Saccharomyces cerevisiae S288C: one gene and its partners. The gene in region 1 interacts genetically with each later gene. Each region holds a gene or a part of one and is shown in the gene's direction. Other genes may lie near its edges. The genes, in order: COG8, UME6, MON2 and ARL3.

Region 1 (4,326 bases):
GGGTTAGCAAGGGCAAACCCTTTGAGACTTGAATTGACTGGATCTGTGACTTCAAACGATTTAGCGGACATTTAAAATTTAGTCTTAGATATAGAATGTAATCTTATTCTTTGATGTGTTCGTTTACAGTTGCTACAAATAGTGACTACTTGTAGCGAAGTTGAAGTGATTTTCTCCTTATATATTTATTCATCAGTTAGTTCGACAGACGCTCGCGAGGTGGCCACTCTTTCAAAATGACGCAATTGGGAGTGGTTTGATCTTTCTCCCTTAGAAGCCAAATTGGCAAGCACTCACTCCGGGCCAGATTTACACCATGTTTGTAGCGCATTTAAATCAGGAAATGCATTATATTTCACTCTCTCGTCTAGCGAGTCTTAATGTTCATGACGGGGGAGCTTTATGCCTTGTTTTTTATCACAGCGCCAGACAATTGACAGTAACAAATAAAGGCAAAAAACCCTTGAATAGCACCAGAGGTGTTTACTGATTGCTTTTAAAGTACGTATAAAACTGTAAAATATAGATTAAATTCGACCGCCATTACTTTAGAGTTGAAATTGGGAAGCCGTATATTGCCATTTCAGCCATGCTTCTATGGTTCCTAATGGAAGCATGAATGACATACGCAATTTGATGAGCTTGAAAAGGGCGTAATTGACAAGCCAGATTTGAATCTAATCCCTTGAGAAATTATCTGCAAGTAGTAAAAAAATCTCTAAAAGATGTATAATTGAGTCGCCTAGAGACCTCATTCATCATGATATTTGACACCTTAATTTTGATAGTAGCGGGTCAGTCATTAAGAAGAAAGTGAGCTGGGGCTAATCATCAACGATCTCCCATAATTACGTACGTCAAAGACAACACGTTGGCAAAGGTAAGAAGAACGTAGTGCGTATCATGCTTACGGTGAATTTCACCCTTTTTTTCTGTTATTCGTGCTGATCCACGGGGTATTCAATTGAAGATATTATCTTTATCATCATATCGGTAAGCGTCTGGGAGAAGCAACTGGTCAAACGTTTTCAAAAACCATTCTTTAAACAACAAACCGATCAATGTTCTTGATCAGCTTATCAATCTATCCGATCTCCTGCGTTCAGCGTGACCGCCACACTTATGTCTAGATAATTTAACTTCCAGTTGCTAATTTCCCGCTAAAGTATCTTATGTTTACCATCACTGTAGCCGCCCTATCATATGCAACACTTCCATACTCATTTTCGGAATAAGAAGCAACTATCATCTAACGACTAGTATTTATATTACTGGTATATTACCATATTGGGTATAAGACGGTCAAATAAATATTGAGAAACAGTCACCAATTTTAATGGAAATTGAAATGAAAGGGTTGATAATGTGCTAGGAAAATGAACGAGAACATACAAAATGAAAGAAGAAATAATAATATTCCTACACAGAAATATCGGTTCTCTATTGTGGATTTTCATATTCTCGAGGAGAACCTCTAGTACATTTTGTGTATCTGGTATCACAGCGCTTGACAACTATAGAATTTAAACAATTATCTCATTCTTCATCCATCACTCAATCATATATATTAACCCCGGAAAAGTGCATTTTTGGTTTCTAATAACATTTGTATTAGTAATATTTGTTTACCCAACAATTCAAGAAATTTAGCTCGCGTGGCGTAATGGCAACGCGTCTGACTTCTAATCAGAAGATTATGGGTTCGACCCCCATCGTGAGTGCTTTGTTTCTTCTTTTTTGAATATGCTAATTCTAAATTTATAGGAAGAGTTGGATTTTCCTTTAGTTAGTTGTACTCTTGAAGTCCATTTTCTTTTTATACGTACATTAGATCGATCTCGCGATCATGGCTTCAATGTCTAAAAATATAGCGTAGTAACATACTGAAAAGAGAAGCACAGAAAAAATAATCATAGAAGTGTTAGGACATTTGAGGGAACATATTTCAACAATAAACATAATCATTGAGTAAAATGGAGCTGATACTAAACAGCCTCATTTCTGATGATTTAACAGAGGAACAAAAACGGTTAAGTCTTGATTTCCTACAGGATATCCTACAATCTAACACGAAAGACTATGAAAGTTATTTTTCATCTAGGGCTGTTCCTGGTAGCATAACTGAAGACATAGCAGAAATTGATGCTGAATTATCTGCCCTTGATAGAAAGATAAGGAAAACACTACTAGATAATACGTCTCAGATTATCGGAAATATTCTTGAAAACGATGATAGGGCTCAATTGGATGATATAGCCAAGTCTTTGGAGCAATTATGGGAATTGGATACTAATATTAATAAGGCAGCCGATCGAAACGTTACAAATGACGATATAAACAATGAAAGCGTTTCTATTGATGACTTTTTGGAAGACGATAAAGAAGACAACGACACAGGTCGCATCATGACGACTGAGAGTAACAATCTGGCAAGAAAGAAGAAGGAGGATGAGTTTCACAAGGCATTAAGTAGGTTAAGAAACAGAATTTCAACTAAAGAAGATGACAAGGACGACATTAGATCTGACACATTAGTCACTGTACTAGAAAATTTGGATAGCATTACGGATTTGATGGAACTACCATTTTTGGCCCGCACATGTATCAGAACAGGTCATTACCAGGAGGCCGTCATGCTATACACACACACTACTTCCCTGAGGTCAAGATTCCCTGGTTCAACCATTGTGGATGAAGTTTGCGAAAAAGTTTTAAACGAAATTAGTACTACCATGTTATCCGGGCTGGTAAAATTACTGTCTACTAATGTATCAGTAAACTCACTAAAGAAAATACTACAGTACTTGAATTCAATTCCACCATTTGATGGAAAGACTAATAAATCATTATTAAGTGTGTTTTTAGCCATGAGATACAAATTCATTACCGATGAAATAGCATCATATCCTTTGGACGTTGAGTCTTCTAATGAATCTTTAATTGAAATGATGGTTAAGAGGAAAATTGAAGTCCTCAGGGAACATGTCTACATGTCCTTGAATGTCTTTCTGAAAAGCTTCTTGTATGATACAAATGACTTAGAGATTCCTTTCCCAGAGGAACTAGAAAGTACTGTGCTAAGGATAAATGGGACTAACGAAGAGAAAGAAATTGAAGAAAAGGAGAAAGAAACAAAGAAGGAAGAATATCAAAAACAAGATAGCGTAGCGAACAATGAAGAAGATGTGACAGAAAATAAATCGATAGAAGATGTACAAGAGGAAGTACAAGGCAAAGTGGAAGGCGAAGATGATGGAGCAGAAAGGAAAACAGAAAATGAGATAGAAAATGAAACAGTAAACAAAACAGAAGACAAGGCTGAAAAAGAAAAAGAGGAAGAAGTAAATACCAAAGATAACAAGGCAGAAAAAGAGGAAGAAGAAATTAATAAGGTTGAGGTGACCCCAGAAGAGCCAAGCAAAAGCATAGATAACAAGGCAGAAAAAGAAGAAGAAGAAATTAATAAGGTTGAAGTGACCCCAGAGGAGCCAAGCAAAAAGATTCGGACTTCAAAAAGGGAAAACAAAATACCTACAAATGCAGTCATGTTGCAATTCGTTGATAAGTGCATAACATACGTATTAAAAGACCTCACTCGTGGGTTAAATAGCATCAAGCTGAGTGACTCCGTTTGCCTGCAGTTGGTGTACTGTTCATTCCGTCTTTGCGACCTGAATCGAAACTACCACCACCTCTTCCTAAAAAAAATCAATGACACTAGCTTGTTTACGACCGAGCAGCTCGCCCGGGCAATTGACAAGAGAGCAGAACTGGCCTCTAAATATATATACTCCTAGTATAATATTGGCTCACTATGTATTTTCAAAATGACGATCGTCCGAAATTTCCATTTTTTTATTTTTTTTTTTCACTTCTTCGCCAGCGCGAGAAGGGGGAGAAACAACAATACGAGAATGTATGTATACCTTTACAACACACTGCTGCAGTCAGAAAGGGAAAAAGGGATAATTGTACCTTACATCCTTTAGAATTGCACTTACCTTTTCCAATTGCGATACATTTCACTTTGATAGACAACTTTGCTTTTTAGCGTTACTTAATTTAATCAGTTTTCTTCTTAACAATATAAAGAGCATCATTAGCTAGCTTTGTTTATTGACATACGCAATATTGCTAGAAAGAAAATAAGTAGAGCTACGCATTGAAAGTCAAGAAAAATGACTGGCATCAAAGCTCAAGTCCATCCCCCACCTGATAGTACCCTATTTCATGAGGAGGAGAAGAAGAAAGTAGGAGGCAATTTACCTCAAAAGGTCATAAATCAACAAGAAAGGGGTTCTGATCACGCTCCATCGGGTCACCATC
Region 2 (4,712 bases), on another chromosome or scaffold:
GCAGCGGTAGTAGTAGTAGTATTATTATTAACAGCAGCAGCATTAGCAGCGTGATTATGGTTGGTGCCACGACTGTGTTGATAGTAGTGGTCATTCTCTGGCGGCAAAGAAGTGGTTGATTTGGATATCATATGATATTGCTTTGACTTTTGAGAAGGTTGTGGAAGTGGGTGAAGAGGCAAAGAAGTCATTGAGTGACTAATTTTAGTAGCAGAATTTGGTTTCATGCTGGTATCTCCATTGGCCAATTTTATTACATCTGAATCATCCATAGGTAGAATTTGAGAATGCTTGGAAGCGTGAAAGGGAATATTGGGCAGGTTTGAATCCTGAGTATTTCTTCTTTGCTTAATTGTCGTGGAAGTTGCTGTTACTGCCGATATTCTGGAAGATCGCCTCGAAACGCGCTTGTTTAGTAAAATATGATCGTCATTTAAGTCTTGTATATACGAATCTGTGTGAACAAGACTGGAATTGTCCAAATCCAAACAATTATTCGAGTTTAACGAGGGTGTTGTTATTTTCTTCGACTCCTTACCTTCGGGAAAACTATATTTCTGCATTTCCTTGTTACTAGTGCTATTTGGTCGGGGAGAAGTTATGGTGTTTGGATGATCATCATCCGTATTATTATTGCTGTTGTCATGCAAAGGATCAATTGATATTGAGTAGTTTCTCTTCACCAGCCTCGAATTATTTATTGTTGGGTTTAACTCTTCAATAGAGGTCGGAGTGGAAGACTCACCATCTGACAAGCGAGGACTTTCCATGTTTGACTCCGAATTCGATGAAGAATGGTAGCTAGTGTGATTATTGCGATCCTTTTTTATTCGATGGTTCGAATCCGGATTCGAATTCGAATTCGGCACCGAACGGTCTTGATGTCGCTCAATTATTGCAGAGTGCAATAGCGATGGTTCCTGTTCTGTTTTGCGACTGGTGGATGTTGTCAGATGTAGCGGTACAACTGAAGGAGGTTGTGATCGCAAGACTGACATGAGTTAGAAACTATTGATAGGGAAAAGCGATATAGGGCAACTGTCTCGGGGGGTGTAAACAGGTTTCGTACTCTCTTGCTTATGAATGTGCTACTTCTTGTTCCTATTTTTTGTTTCTGTCCTTGTTTTTTCTTTGCTTGTCCCTCCGTATTTGCTTCTTTGTTGTCACGCTTTTGTTATTTCCACCTCTATCTTTCCTCTCTGTCCCATTCCCCATCCATTCCTTTCTTTTTTTTTTTAACCTGTGTTTTGTTTTCCCAGAATGGGCGGCACGTTCTTATGTCCGTAAAAACGGATATACAAAAGCGACACGTCGTCTGAGGTGACACTCCACTCAACCCCACTTGCCCAAAACATGCATTGCTACAAGTAGTAGAGCGCAGTTTTTAAAGTCCATTGGTTGCACACGAAATCACGAGAATAATCACGAGAATAGAATGCACGTTGGATTTCGGGCATCCTATAATTGCCAAGACTGCGCTACTTCTCTTCTGTTTCGGTCCGGGTGACACGTCCGCCGTGCTTCAAGGCGCCTTTTCACCAATGCCAGGCGGAAACTGCCGCCGTCAAAAAGAAAAATGAAAAGAACATAGAGGACAAGGACAAGAGACCAGTGATCGTAAGAAGCGCCCACCTTCGCACAGCGCACAGGAACTAGGACACTACCGCACTCAAACCATTTGCATGGACCTTAACTCACGATGCTAGACAAGGCGCGCTCTCAAAGCAAACACATGGACGAATCTAATGCGGCTGCCTCTCTGCTTTCGATGGAAACAACCGCCAACAATCATCACTATTTGCACAATAAAACATCTCGTGCCACGCTGATGAATAGCAGCCAAGACGGCAAAAAACATGCAGAAGATGAAGTTAGTGATGGAGCTAACTCCCGCCATCCTACAATTTCCAGTGCTAGCATCGAATCTCTCAAGACAACCTACGATGAAAACCCTTTGCTTTCTATTATGAAATCGACATGTGCGCCCAACAACACTCCCGTGCATACTCCGTCTGGTTCGCCGAGTTTGAAAGTCCAAAGTGGCGGAGATATCAAAGACGATCCTAAGGAAAACGATACTACTACTACGACCAATACTACACTTCAAGATCGCCGTGACAGCGATAACGCTGTGCATGCTGCCGCCAGCCCACTCGCGCCTTCCAATACACCTTCGGATCCTAAGTCATTGTGCAATGGCCATGTCGCACAGGCTACAGACCCACAAATTTCCGGTGCTATTCAGCCGCAGTATACTGCAACCAACGAGGATGTTTTCCCTTACTCCTCCACCTCCACTAATAGTAACACTGCCACTACTACTATCGTCGCCGGCGCCAAAAAAAAAATACATTTGCCGCCACCACAAGCTCCAGCGGTTTCTTCCCCCGGTACCACCGCAGCAGGCTCGGGCGCGGGCACGGGCTCGGGCATCCGTTCCCGCACAGGATCGGATTTGCCGCTCATCATTACCAGCGCCAACAAGAACAACGGTAAGACTACCAATTCGCCTATGTCGATACTGAGCAGAAACAACAGTACCAACAACAACGACAATAATTCGATACAAAGCTCAGATTCGAGAGAATCCTCTAATAACAATGAGATTGGCGGGTATTTGCGCGGCGGAACTAAGCGCGGCGGCAGTCCATCTAACGACTCTCAGGTCCAGCATAATGTGCATGATGACCAATGTGCCGTGGGCGTGGCGCCCAGGAACTTCTATTTCAACAAGGATAGAGAGATAACAGACCCAAATGTAAAACTGGACGAGAACGAATCAAAAATCAACATATCGTTCTGGCTAAATTCGAAATACAGAGATGAGGCTTATTCTTTGAATGAATCATCCTCCAACAATGCTAGTTCAAACACGGATACGCCTACAAACTCTCGACATGCGAACACCAGCTCTTCCATTACCAGCAGAAACAATTTCCAGCATTTTAGGTTCAACCAAATACCTTCTCAACCTCCAACTTCCGCATCTTCGTTTACAAGCACAAACAACAACAACCCTCAACGGAACAATATCAATCGCGGTGAAGACCCGTTTGCCACTTCGTCAAGACCTTCTACTGGGTTTTTTTACGGCGATTTGCCGAATCGTAACAATAGAAATAGTCCCTTCCATACAAATGAACAATACATCCCACCACCTCCACCGAAATACATCAATTCTAAATTGGATGGATTGAGATCAAGATTATTGCTCGGTCCGAATTCTGCATCTTCATCTACCAAACTAGACGACGACTTGGGTACAGCAGCAGCAGTGCTATCAAACATGAGATCATCCCCATATAGAACTCATGATAAACCCATTTCCAATGTCAATGACATGAATAACACAAATGCGCTCGGTGTGCCGGCTAGTAGGCCTCATTCGTCATCTTTTCCATCAAAGGGTGTCTTAAGACCAATTCTGTTACGTATCCATAATTCCGAACAACAACCCATTTTCGAAAGCAACAATTCTACAGCTGTTTTTGATGAAGACCAGGACCAAAATCAAGACTTGTCTCCTTACCATTTAAATCTAAACTCTAAAAAGGTTTTAGATCCCACTTTTGAGTCAAGGACAAGGCAAGTTACTTGGAATAAGAATGGTAAGCGAATAGACAGACGCCTTTCTGCTCCAGAACAACAACAGCAACTGGAAGTTCCACCATTGAAAAAATCGAGAAGGTCAGTTGGAAACGCAAGAGTAGCAAGCCAAACCAATAGCGATTATAATTCTCTTGGCGAATCCTCAACTTCGTCAGCTCCATCGTCTCCATCTTTGAAGGCTTCTTCTGGCTTGGCATATACCGCTGATTATCCTAACGCTACTTCGCCGGATTTCGCTAAATCTAAAGGAAAAAATGTCAAGCCTAAGGCAAAATCAAAGGCGAAACAGTCATCAAAGAAAAGACCAAATAATACTACTTCGAAATCAAAAGCAAACAATTCTCAAGAATCGAATAATGCTACTTCCTCAACGTCTCAAGGTACAAGGTCCCGTACTGGTTGCTGGATTTGTAGATTAAGGAAAAAGAAGTGTACCGAGGAAAGACCGCACTGTTTCAACTGTGAAAGGTTGAAATTGGACTGTCACTATGACGCGTTCAAACCAGATTTTGTATCTGATCCAAAGAAAAAACAGATGAAACTGGAGGAAATCAAGAAAAAAACAAAAGAGGCCAAAAGAAGAGCAATGAAAAAAAAATAAAAGCTCACTGAAAAAAAAAAAGAGATATTGTTACTATTATTATTATTATTACTGTCATTAATACTATACTAATAAAGAAAAGGAAAATACGCATAATAATATTTAATTAACAATAATATAACATATATATATATATATATATATGTATGTACTACCATGTAATTTCAAAGACTTTCAAAAGAAGTTATACGTCAATTCTCGTGTACAAATCAGTCAAACTGTAATTCATTCGTACTGATAAGCCAAATTTCTACCTAGTATTCATATGAAGATTTGAAAAACTATGATAAAAAACGAACAATATTAAAACATATTATTCCGACTGTTTCCCCTCATGCTGTCCGTGTTGCTTTGGGCGTCAAAAGGAAATTGCATGTACTTCCCCACATCTTGCTGCATAGGTTGTTGAAACATTTGCCGTTGCGCTTGCGCATATGCTGACGACGGCGCAGATGTCTGGTACTGGTCACCTAGCCACGTTGGATTTGCAAAATTCATTGAC
Region 3 (6,934 bases), on another chromosome or scaffold:
AAACAGTTTCTTTGTGCCCTTTGATTTGCTCACATAAACGGCCAGGGGCAAGTGTTCTCTCTTGAACTCATTATGTATGGATAGCTTTGTCAATTTTTTGAATTCTCTAGCAAGTATCTTATTTAACTTAGTTAGTTCATTGCGGAACAGTTCCTGATCATTTTTGATAAATGTGTGTTTGTATGCATAATTTTTCTGTTTATGTTCAAAGTCGCTTCTTGCTTTTAACATTTTCTGTCTTTTACTTGTATTTGCACTTGAATATCCAGATTCTTGAAGGGGTTTTGTATTGTAAAGTGACTCGTGCAAACGGGATTTATTATGGTATAAATTCACTAACTCTGGGGTGTCATTGATTCTTCGATTGTGAAACTGAAGTTTTATCATAGTAGGCTTTCTTGCATTCTTCGCTTGACTTTTTCTCTCAATACGCAAAAGTTTAAATGGCTTCATTTTCAGAATAATATTTTTGGGCACATATTTGAAAGGCATGTCATTATAAACCATGCCACTTATAGATGCGTCCCACGGTATTACGGGTTTACGTTTGTGCGAAGATGGTAACTGTTCCATACTATGAATGCTTTCTCTCAAACTTGTTCTTTGTAAGTCCTCAATAATCTCCTGCACATTGAGTTTGCCATCTTTCTCGGAAGCGTCCACTACCTGTATATTGGGAAGAACGTCGTCTAACTCATGAAAGTTTTTACCCTTTCTTGCATCAGACGGAAAACCTGAGTTCCCCAGAAACAAGGGTCGATAGCCGGCAAACAGGCCCTCCGTGTGAACCTCTTTATTCGAAATATAGTCTGTAGACGCAACTCTAGGAACCAATAAATGCAAATTAGAACCAGATATCTTCGATCTGCTGTTATATGCGAGGTCTGTGGGCTGCTTTCCCTGCTGCGCTAGCGACTCAGCATGCGAATCTCCCTCTTTAATAACTGTTTCACCATCATATGCTCGTTTCATCTTCGACGGTACCCTCCCCAAATCTTTGGAAGAATCCTTTTCTTCATTGCAATCACCTTTCTCATCTCTCCCTCCACCCTTGCCTGACATATGTCTACAGCTCACTCTAGTCATATTTTGCCTAAGAGCACCACGTCGGATGAAATTGGGGCAGTACAGTACAAGCCTTCGAAGTGCTTGGTGTTCCATGACGTAACGTACGACTAAATCTCACTACTTCTGCAATGATCTAATGATACGGTCTGCTTTCACCAAAAATTGAGCACACTAAAGGGGTATACCAATATTGTCCTAGCAGCTAACAAATACTCTCTTCAGATCGAGTTGCAGACTTCCTCAAACCTCCTGCTCTTATTCTTCATAAAGTCATTGCGAAGTCTTCATTATCCCACTTTCTGATAAAGCCGGCTGGTCGTCGTGGATGACCTTTAAATCGTCCGTGTTAATAATTAAGGTGACCTAAGCCCAGCTAAATAAAGCCTGTAGACTGTATGCAATACAAGTGATTTTCAAAGAAAGTAAACCAACTTGACCTGTTACACACCATTCATATGGCCATGAACACTGGAGGGTTTGACTCCATGCAAAGGCAACTTGAAGCAGAATTGCGTTCTTTATCTTCCGAATCGAAAAGAAGAAATTCAACCATTCGCCATGCTAGTGATAAATCCATTGAGATATTGAAAAGAGTACATAGTTTTGAGGAGCTAGAAAGACATCCGGATTTCGCACTCCCTTTCGTGTTGGCTTGCCAATCAAGGAATGCTAAAATGACGACCCTGGCAATGCAATGCCTACAGGGACTGTCAACCGTTCCATCTATTCCTCGAAGCCGGCTGTCTGAAATTTTGGATGCCTTCATTGAGGCTACTCATCTCGCGATGGAGATTCAATTAAAAGTTTTACAGGTGGTACCCATTTTTTTTAAGACATACGGGAAGTTCATCTATGGGCCGCTTTGTAAGAAGTTGTTGCTGTGTTGCTCAAATCTGCTGCATGTACCTAATAAGGCACCCGTAGTAGTTGGTACTGCGAGTGCCACTTTACAGCAGCTTATCGATGAAATATTTGATAGGCTTTCCATTGAATCTGTAGTGGATGATAAACAATATGAAGTCCTCATAAGTAATAGTGAGTCAATTAAGGTCAATGTTTATAGATACGATGCTAACAAATTGTTCGATAATATCTGTTCATTAAATGAAATAAGCTCAAATGGGGCAGTTAGTGACGAGGAGATGCTGTTAGACATTGGGGACATCCCAATAGACTATGGCCTGGAAATCCTTGAATCGATTTTGAAGAATAGTCAGAAAAATCTTTTAGAATGCCAAGATTTACAATATCTACTGAGAGTTAAGGCGATTCCATTGCTTCTACGTTGCATATCTTCTTCGAGACACTTCTCCACCGCTGTAAGGAGTTGTCGTTGTTTGAAGTTGTTGATAAGAAAAGAGTACCTAAGCATACTCGAGTTAGAATTAGAGGTCATCTTGTCGCTGTTAATCCATGGCATATCTGTCGAATCCAATTTAAGTGGATGGCAAAGAGTACTATCTCTAGAACTTTTCAAGGATTTATCACAAGACCCCGAAATCGTCAATACACTCTATATGGACTATGATAATTATCCAGATAAAAAACATGTGTTCAAATATCTTTTGAAAGAATGTATTGTCTTATTAAATTCGCCAGAGTATATTACTTTCTTGGCGCCATCAAAAGTAGTCGAGAAAATGGATTCTCCCTTGATAACTACTGAAAACTCTACAGTTAAAACAAAGTTTATGCATTTATTGGACAAATCAAACGCTCCGTCCATTAATATTACTTACATTATATCATTAATTCTGACCATCTGTAACCACTTATGCGAGGGGTTGAACAAATCGGCTCTGGAAAGCTCTCCCCTAGAGAAGAAAATTGAGGACAAAGAACGTGAAGAGGGAACTGGAAATGATTCGACAGTTGTAAAGGTTTATAGCGGCCTGTTTTCTGGCCTATTTGAGCTAAACAAACTCTTTTTATATTCGACCTCCTTAGAGACATCGATATTCCACTTGGTGGTTAGAGCTTTTCAAAAATTAGCTCATAGTGCCGGCGTTCTGTCACTAAAGGACAAATTAAGGGCATGCATGAAATTGTTTTCGATTTTGATAACAAACAACGTTACATCATCCAATCAATATTCTTTTAATGATACAAGTAAGTCAGCAAAAAATCAACATACAAGAAATATATCCACATCTAGTGTCACGACCAGTCCCGTAGAATCAACAAAAAATCCAAGTAGGTCGATTGCAGATTCTGCGCAAAATAAGGAAATGAAAAGGCGTTTGCACCCCAGGAATATTAGTTCAAGACAAGTTAGTTTACTAAGGGCATTAATATCATTATCAATATCACTAGGTCCTATTTTCGATTCAGAAAGCTGGAGGTACACTTTTTTAACCTGGCAATGGATAACTTACTACATATATGGTCCATCAGCAGATTTCAAAGAGAGCTTTTACTCTGAAGATATTCCACCACCTCCAATACTGACTAAATCAGACGTTACATCTATTGAAAGCTCTCTAACGAAATTTTTTGAAAGTACAAGCAGCTATTCTTGCTCAACTTTTCATTTGGTATTAACCAGATTAATTTTGGACTCAAAAAATACCCTCACTTTAGAACAAACGAACCTCAACCTGAATAATGACATTGGCTATCATCCTTTAGATGCAAAAGATGAAATTATACCATGCATTTACAACAAGGCGTTTTTTGTTAACAAAATTGGTGAACTGGCAACTTATAATTGCAAAAAATTTCTCTTTGGAAAAAATGGTAAAGAACTTTGGAGTTTGATTTCCACCTATATGATCAAATTGATATCAAACCGTGAAATGGATAACGATTCTTTACGTTTATACACAGTGAGAGTGTTTACAGATATCATCAAAAAGGCTACTAATGAGGTTGGTAATTCCGATGAGCAAGATAATAAAGTGAAACAGTTTGGTACATTGGAAAACTTAGTCATCGATAGCTTGATGGCAACGATAAACTCGATAAAACAGTTGGATATTGGTAAGCAGGAAATATACAATGGGACGATCAATGTTGAATCAGATATTCTTTTTCAATTGCTACTAACTTTAAAAGAGATTCTGAACGAATTTGGTGAACTGTTAATGAACTCTTGGACCAATATTTTCAACATCATTAATTCACCATTCGAGTGGACAGTTGAGGATACTGATTTTTCCGTGAATGAGGATATAGATGATTCATCTTTATTTGAAGGTATCGTTCAGAAGCATAAGAACATGATCCAAGTGTCATACGATGTTTTTAAACTAATTTCTGATGATTTCTTACAGAGTTTACCTATGAGTGTCATTAAATTCGTTATTGATACGCTTGTCAATTTCGTAAGTCAGAAGCGAAATCTTAATATCTCCTTTTCTTCTATTAGTCAGTTCTGGTTAGTTGGAGATTATCTCAGAGTCCGCTTCAATCCCGAAACATTAAATTTAAGTGATGAGAAACGTAGAAGTCTCTCCGAAAAGATTAATAATCAAAAATTAATTGAAATCATTACATCCAGTTCATCTCATGATTGGGAACTTTACAACGGATTATGGATATATCTTTTGAAAAATTTGATCAATTGTACTAATGATGATAGAGTAGAAGTTAAAAACGGTGCTGTGCAGACTTTTTTCAGAATCATCGACTCCCATTCTGTTTGCTTCCCCCCATGGGACCTAATTTTCTTAGAGGTTATTGAACCACTGCTTACCAAGGAATGGTCCACTGAAGAACTCGAAAATGAAACTGATTTTATAAATGTAACATTGCAAGGATTAATTAAGCTTTATCCGGAACACTTTAAGGACTTCAAAAACAACACTACCTGCGCCAAGGAATGGTCAATGTTATTAGATTTTTTGAAAAGATTGTTGTCTTCCACTTCTAATAATACCAAGAATGCTGTAATATTAAATTATCAAACCCTGCTGAAAGAAATCATCACTATTGAGGACGTTCCATCAGATATATTGAAAAAGTGCTGCGAAATATTTACCGACTACAATATTACGTACAGTGATCTCTCCACAAACGCATCGAGCAAAACTGAATACGATTGTATATACGAACTAATAACCGGATTTCCTCCTCTTTACCAATTAATATCGAAATACGATGCGATGACAGATGAATTTGTGGAAAAAGTTCTTCTTTTATTCAATTCTGCCATAAAATATCCTCTCTTACCTGAGTTTGTCCAAGACAAAACTAAACCGTCCTCTATGCAAAAGGCCATATTGTCTGGACTTGATATATTTATGACAAATGATTCTAAAGATACAGAAATTTTGATTCTTCTCCAGTTAAGTACAATATCGATATTGGCTTTTGATACAAGGGAAAAAATAACAAAAAAACTTGGACCAAAGCTTCCAAAAGCATCACTTAACAGGTTACCAACTTTTGAGGCAATCAGCTATATGTCATGTTCTAACCTGAGAAATAGAATAGCAAAAATAGATCAATTTGGTATATCCACACTGAAAGCAAAGCATATTTTAAGAATATTGAAAAATTTGGCTGAAATCATCAAGCGAAAATCGCTTATTACAGGGTCAGAGAGTGATGAAATCCCCATATGGGTTCTTGCTTCCAATTGCTTCTGTGATTTGTCGAACAAAATTTTCAAATCACTCCAAGAAGATGCAGAAAATCCATTAAAGGATAACTTTTGTGATTTATTTATAAATGTTATTGTTGTCACATTACAAAGAATCAACCCAGAGCTCGATAATTTAACCGAGATAGACGATTTGAATGAGTATTCCAAATATAGGGAGATATTGCTGGAAAACAGAATCATTGATCTCTTCAATGAAAGGCAATTAGACACTTTCATTTATGCCGTCTGGGATTGTTCATTTTTATATGAATTCGATGAATTAGAAAATGCTTTGATGCAAGACTGTGGTACGTTTTCTGAATTGTCTCAAAAACTATCTTCGTTCGATTTTTCATGTATATTTGGATCCACCACAAATCCTCGCTTTCAGACAAAATATAAGTGCTCTTTAGAGTGCTTGCAAGATTTGGTTAATTTTATGTTGAACACAAACGAGAAATTAAGAAAGTTAACTGCTCCTTATCTTTCTGCAAGAATTGCCCTTGCTCTTAGAAGATATATCTCAGATGAATACTTGATTGGGCGAGCACCAATACCAAAATTGCGTAAAACAGAACTAGCTACTCTATTAAATGGGCTATGCGTGATTTTAAGAGGTGTTCTAGATCAAAATTCGACCCTTGGCAACAAACAAATTGGAGTTGAAAACCTACAAACATTAAGTCCGTTGATTTTAAGAACCATCCCAGTATCTCATAAAATGGATGGCCTCCAAGATAAAGTTTTGGAATTATCACTTGGATTTACGAAACTAGACTAGAAGCTGAAGCATGGACGAATATTTTTAAAAATCACGTAGGATAAATAGTAATATTAAACGACATTGGATTGATTATTGTATCGTTGCAGGTCTTTTTTTATTTACTTTAAAAAAAAAACTTTTAAGGTGAACGTATTTATATATTATGCCATTGGTATGCATAGCTAAAAGAAAAGAAATACATAAGATTGTAGTATGTATGATATGCTTATAGAAATAGTTGTGTGCTTCATTCCTTCCACTCCAACAGTGATGTCAAATCCTTTGGATCACATGCCATATTGAAAAAACCGTGGTGTAAAAGCTCTTCGGTTGATGCCCTATATCTAACATCTACGCAAAGGCAAACGCTTAGAAAGCGTTTAATTTCTAAAGACAAACTTTCTGGATGCTTGAGCTTTGGTGTACCATTAGTTGCAATTAAGTACAACGCCTTTAGTGGATCTTCATTTAAATATGGTGGTTCACCCTCCAGCATTTCAATGGTCATGATACCCAAA
Region 4 (3,045 bases), on another chromosome or scaffold:
ATTGTAAGATTTGGGTCATGGAATCCCTTTCAGTAATTAGTGAGACAAAGCACGCCTTTGGTGGTGATCCTCTATGATTGATATACGATGGCACCATGAACCCTAGCGTCGTTTCATTACCACCATAAGATTTGATCTTTTCCTTAATGGCATTCACGGTGGCATTTCTAATGGCCTCTCCCTCTAAAGATTGCTTCAATTCGGCTTCTTCCTGTTCACTTTGTATACGCCTTTGTTCCTCTGCACTAATTTTTGCAATAGGTTGCAAAGATTTCGGAAGGTATGGTGTAACATACTGTTCAGACATCTGCTTTGTTTTTGGATGATTTATTGTCACCATTAGCGCAAGCACGAAAACAAACGAAATCAACAGAAAGCGTGCTATTTTTTTGCTCAGCAGTACGTGCATCTTACCTTATCTTATCTTCACTAAAGGGCACAAAAGGTTGGGTGAACGCTTAGTATCCCTCTAGTCTTGTATACTCGTACACATTATAAGTACATTTAACAAATCTCATCCACATTTCTCGAATAAATATCACATGTAACTTGAAGGTTATTTTTATATTTTTTTTTCCTGTGAAGGAACAACTCGTGTCTCACGAGAGCGCCACTTAAAAAACGAAAAGATAATCGGCGATGACTATATATGTATGTGATTGAGAATAAAAATATGGAAAGATAAAAGACCTAGTAACGTTGTATTTCAATAGTGAGGATAACATAAAGAAGTAAAAAGATCTTTGAAAATGTATGAAGTAATACAGAAAAGGAAAACAAAAATAATAAACGTTTTACAGAGTCCTGAACTCATGAGGCTCATAGAGGACCCATCAAATCTGGGTATTTCTTTACATTTTCCAGTAAGTTCACTGCTAAAAAGTAATAAGTGCACACCAATGCCTAAACTTTCTACGTATAGTTTGGCTAGTGGGGGATTTAAGGATTGGTGCGCGTGACATCCCTCTAGACGTTCCACCAGAGATTGATATCATCGATTTTTACTGGGATGTTATTTTATGCATGGAATCTCAATTCATATTAGATTACAATGTTCCGTCAAAAAATAAGGGGAACAATCAGAAGTCTGTTGCTAAGCTGTTGAAAAATAAGCTTGTAAACGATATGAAAACTACGTTAAAAAGACTAATTTATAATGAAAATACCAAGCAATATAAAAATAATAATAGCCACGATGGTTACAATTGGAGAAAACTAGGCTCGCAGTATTTCATACTGTATCTTCCCCTATTTACGCAGGAACTGATTTGGTGTAAACTTAATGAAAACTATTTCCATGTTGTATTACCATCTTTACTGAATAGTAGGAACGTTCATGATAACCACAGTACCTATATAAATAAAGATTGGTTACTTGCCCTTTTAGAGCTAACTTCCAACCTGAACCAAAACTTCAAATTCGAATACATGAAATTGAGATTGTATATTTTAAGAGATGATTTAATTAATAATGGTTTGGATCTTTTGAAAAATCTTAACTGGGTCGGTGGGAAACTGATTAAAAATGAAGATAGAGAAGTCTTGTTGAACTCGACCGATTTAGCTACGGATTCTATTTCTCATTTATTAGGTGATGAAAACTTTGTTATTTTAGAGTTTGAATGCTAAGCAGTTATATTCAGTTAGAAGCATATATCCCACCATTAAATAAGTTAACATACTACTGCATTTTTATTTTATGTTTAAGAGCAGATACGTCAATGTAGCTTGCATATGTACGTATCCTCCCCCACCTCCTATTTTCTACTTTGAACTTTATGGGAGTGTTAGTATAAGAAATATGTTTACACCTTTTTCAGACAAATGTAAACGGAAAATTAAAAAACGAATTCAGATCGATGTGTTAATCAAGTAGATGAAGGAGAATAAAGCATATAAAGCGCACCGCACACATGTTTCATTTAGTCAAGGGACTTTACAATAATTGGAATAAAAAGGAACAATATTCAATTCTAATATTAGGTCTAGACAATGCAGGCAAAACGACGTTCTTGGAGACATTGAAAAAGGAATACTCTCTGGCGTTCAAAGCCTTGGAAAAGATACAGCCTACGGTAGGACAAAATGTGGCGACAATACCCGTTGACAGTAAACAGATCTTGAAGTTTTGGGATGTAGGTGGTCAAGAATCACTGAGATCAATGTGGTCCGAATACTATTCCCTATGTCATGGTATAATTTTCATTGTGGATAGTTCAGATAGAGAACGATTAGACGAATGTTCCACGACCCTACAGTCAGTTGTAATGGATGAAGAAATTGAAGGTGTACCCATCTTGATGCTGGCCAATAAACAAGATAGACAAGATAGAATGGAAGTACAAGATATAAAAGAAGTATTTAATAAGATTGCGGAACATATAAGCGCTAGAGATAGTAGGGTTTTACCAATAAGCGCATTGACTGGAGAAGGTGTTAAAGACGCTATAGAATGGATGATTGTTAGACTAGAAAGGAATAAAAAGTCAAGACCACCGATTTATAAATGATAAAGAAGCACCAAAAGAAATAAAATGTGAATGGTTTATTCTCAAGCTCAGAAATTAGTTGTTGTAGCACTTTTTATTCGGCATTTTTTAATATACATGTGTAAATTATATATATATATATATGAATATATATCTTGTTTTGTTTATTTTCAACTAATAATCGCAACAATATTATCTTTCAATAACGCTATAGCTTCTGTATGCTTTTTGCTCAGTTGCTCAATGGTTCTCTTCCTCTATGTGATAAACCAAATAGTTTGGTAAGCCAAATACATCGTAGTTTAATCTCTTCGCCATCTTAGCAAAACCTTCTGTTTCAATCAAGTGATAAAATGGGAAATTAGGGAACATGGCACCGTCTCTGTGAACTTCTGCTTTGACCAAAGTACAGCCTCCACCAACACCATCCAGCGCCATCTCTTCACCTGGTACGCCATTAGCATCGTAGAAATGAGCCATTAATGGCCTATAAGTGGCAATTTCTGCATAACCCTCGACAATAATCTCGTCATCACCCATCTGAGAGGCTATTTCT

Evidence for each region.
Region 2: mutations in COG8 (region 1) and UME6 together harm fitness more than expected from each alone (negative genetic interaction), as found in Saccharomyces cerevisiae (5 studies listed by BioGRID, with this or other methods).
Region 3: mutations in COG8 (region 1) and MON2 together harm fitness more than expected from each alone (negative genetic interaction), as found in Saccharomyces cerevisiae (5 studies listed by BioGRID).
Region 4: mutations in COG8 (region 1) and ARL3 together harm fitness more than expected from each alone (negative genetic interaction), as found in Saccharomyces cerevisiae (7 studies listed by BioGRID, with this or other methods).

What each region holds. Positions count from the first base shown.
Region 1 is NC_001145.3:129,220-133,545, reverse strand, and holds COG8 (Golgi transport complex subunit COG8), read left to right. Parts: upstream 1-1,973; coding exon 1,974-3,797; downstream 3,798-4,326. Other genes in the region: DAK1 (dihydroxyacetone kinase), read right to left, coding at 1-71; TCB3 (Tcb3p), read left to right, coding at 4,179-4,326. UniProt on the Saccharomyces cerevisiae protein: Acts as a component of the peripheral membrane COG complex that is involved in intra-Golgi protein trafficking.
Region 2 is NC_001136.10:864,510-869,221, reverse strand, and holds UME6 (DNA-binding transcriptional regulator UME6), read left to right. Parts: upstream 1-1,699; coding exon 1,700-4,210; downstream 4,211-4,712. Other genes in the region: MSS4 (1-phosphatidylinositol-4-phosphate 5-kinase), read right to left, coding at 1-998; EBS1 (Ebs1p), read right to left, coding at 4,514-4,712. UniProt on the Saccharomyces cerevisiae protein: Component of the RPD3C(L) histone deacetylase complex (HDAC) responsible for the deacetylation of lysine residues on the N-terminal part of the core histones (H2A, H2B, H3 and H4).
Region 3 is NC_001146.8:71,173-78,106, reverse strand, and holds MON2 (Mon2p), read left to right. Parts: upstream 1-1,523; coding exon 1,524-6,434; downstream 6,435-6,934. Other genes in the region: MRX6 (Mrx6p), read right to left, coding at 1-1,161; serine/threonine protein kinase CLA4, read right to left, coding at 6,664-6,934. UniProt on the Saccharomyces cerevisiae protein: Required for traffic between late Golgi and early endosomes. Required for endocytosis and maintenance of vacuolar structure.
Region 4 is NC_001148.4:458,050-461,094, forward strand, and holds ARL3 (Arf family GTPase ARL3), read left to right. Parts: upstream 1-1,913; coding exon 1,914-2,510; downstream 2,511-3,045. Other genes in the region: KTR6 (putative mannosyltransferase), read right to left, coding at 1-409; mannosyltransferase complex subunit MNN9, read right to left, coding at 2,730-3,045. UniProt on the Saccharomyces cerevisiae protein: Involved in the targeting of ARL1 to the Golgi. Can bind and hydrolyze GTP.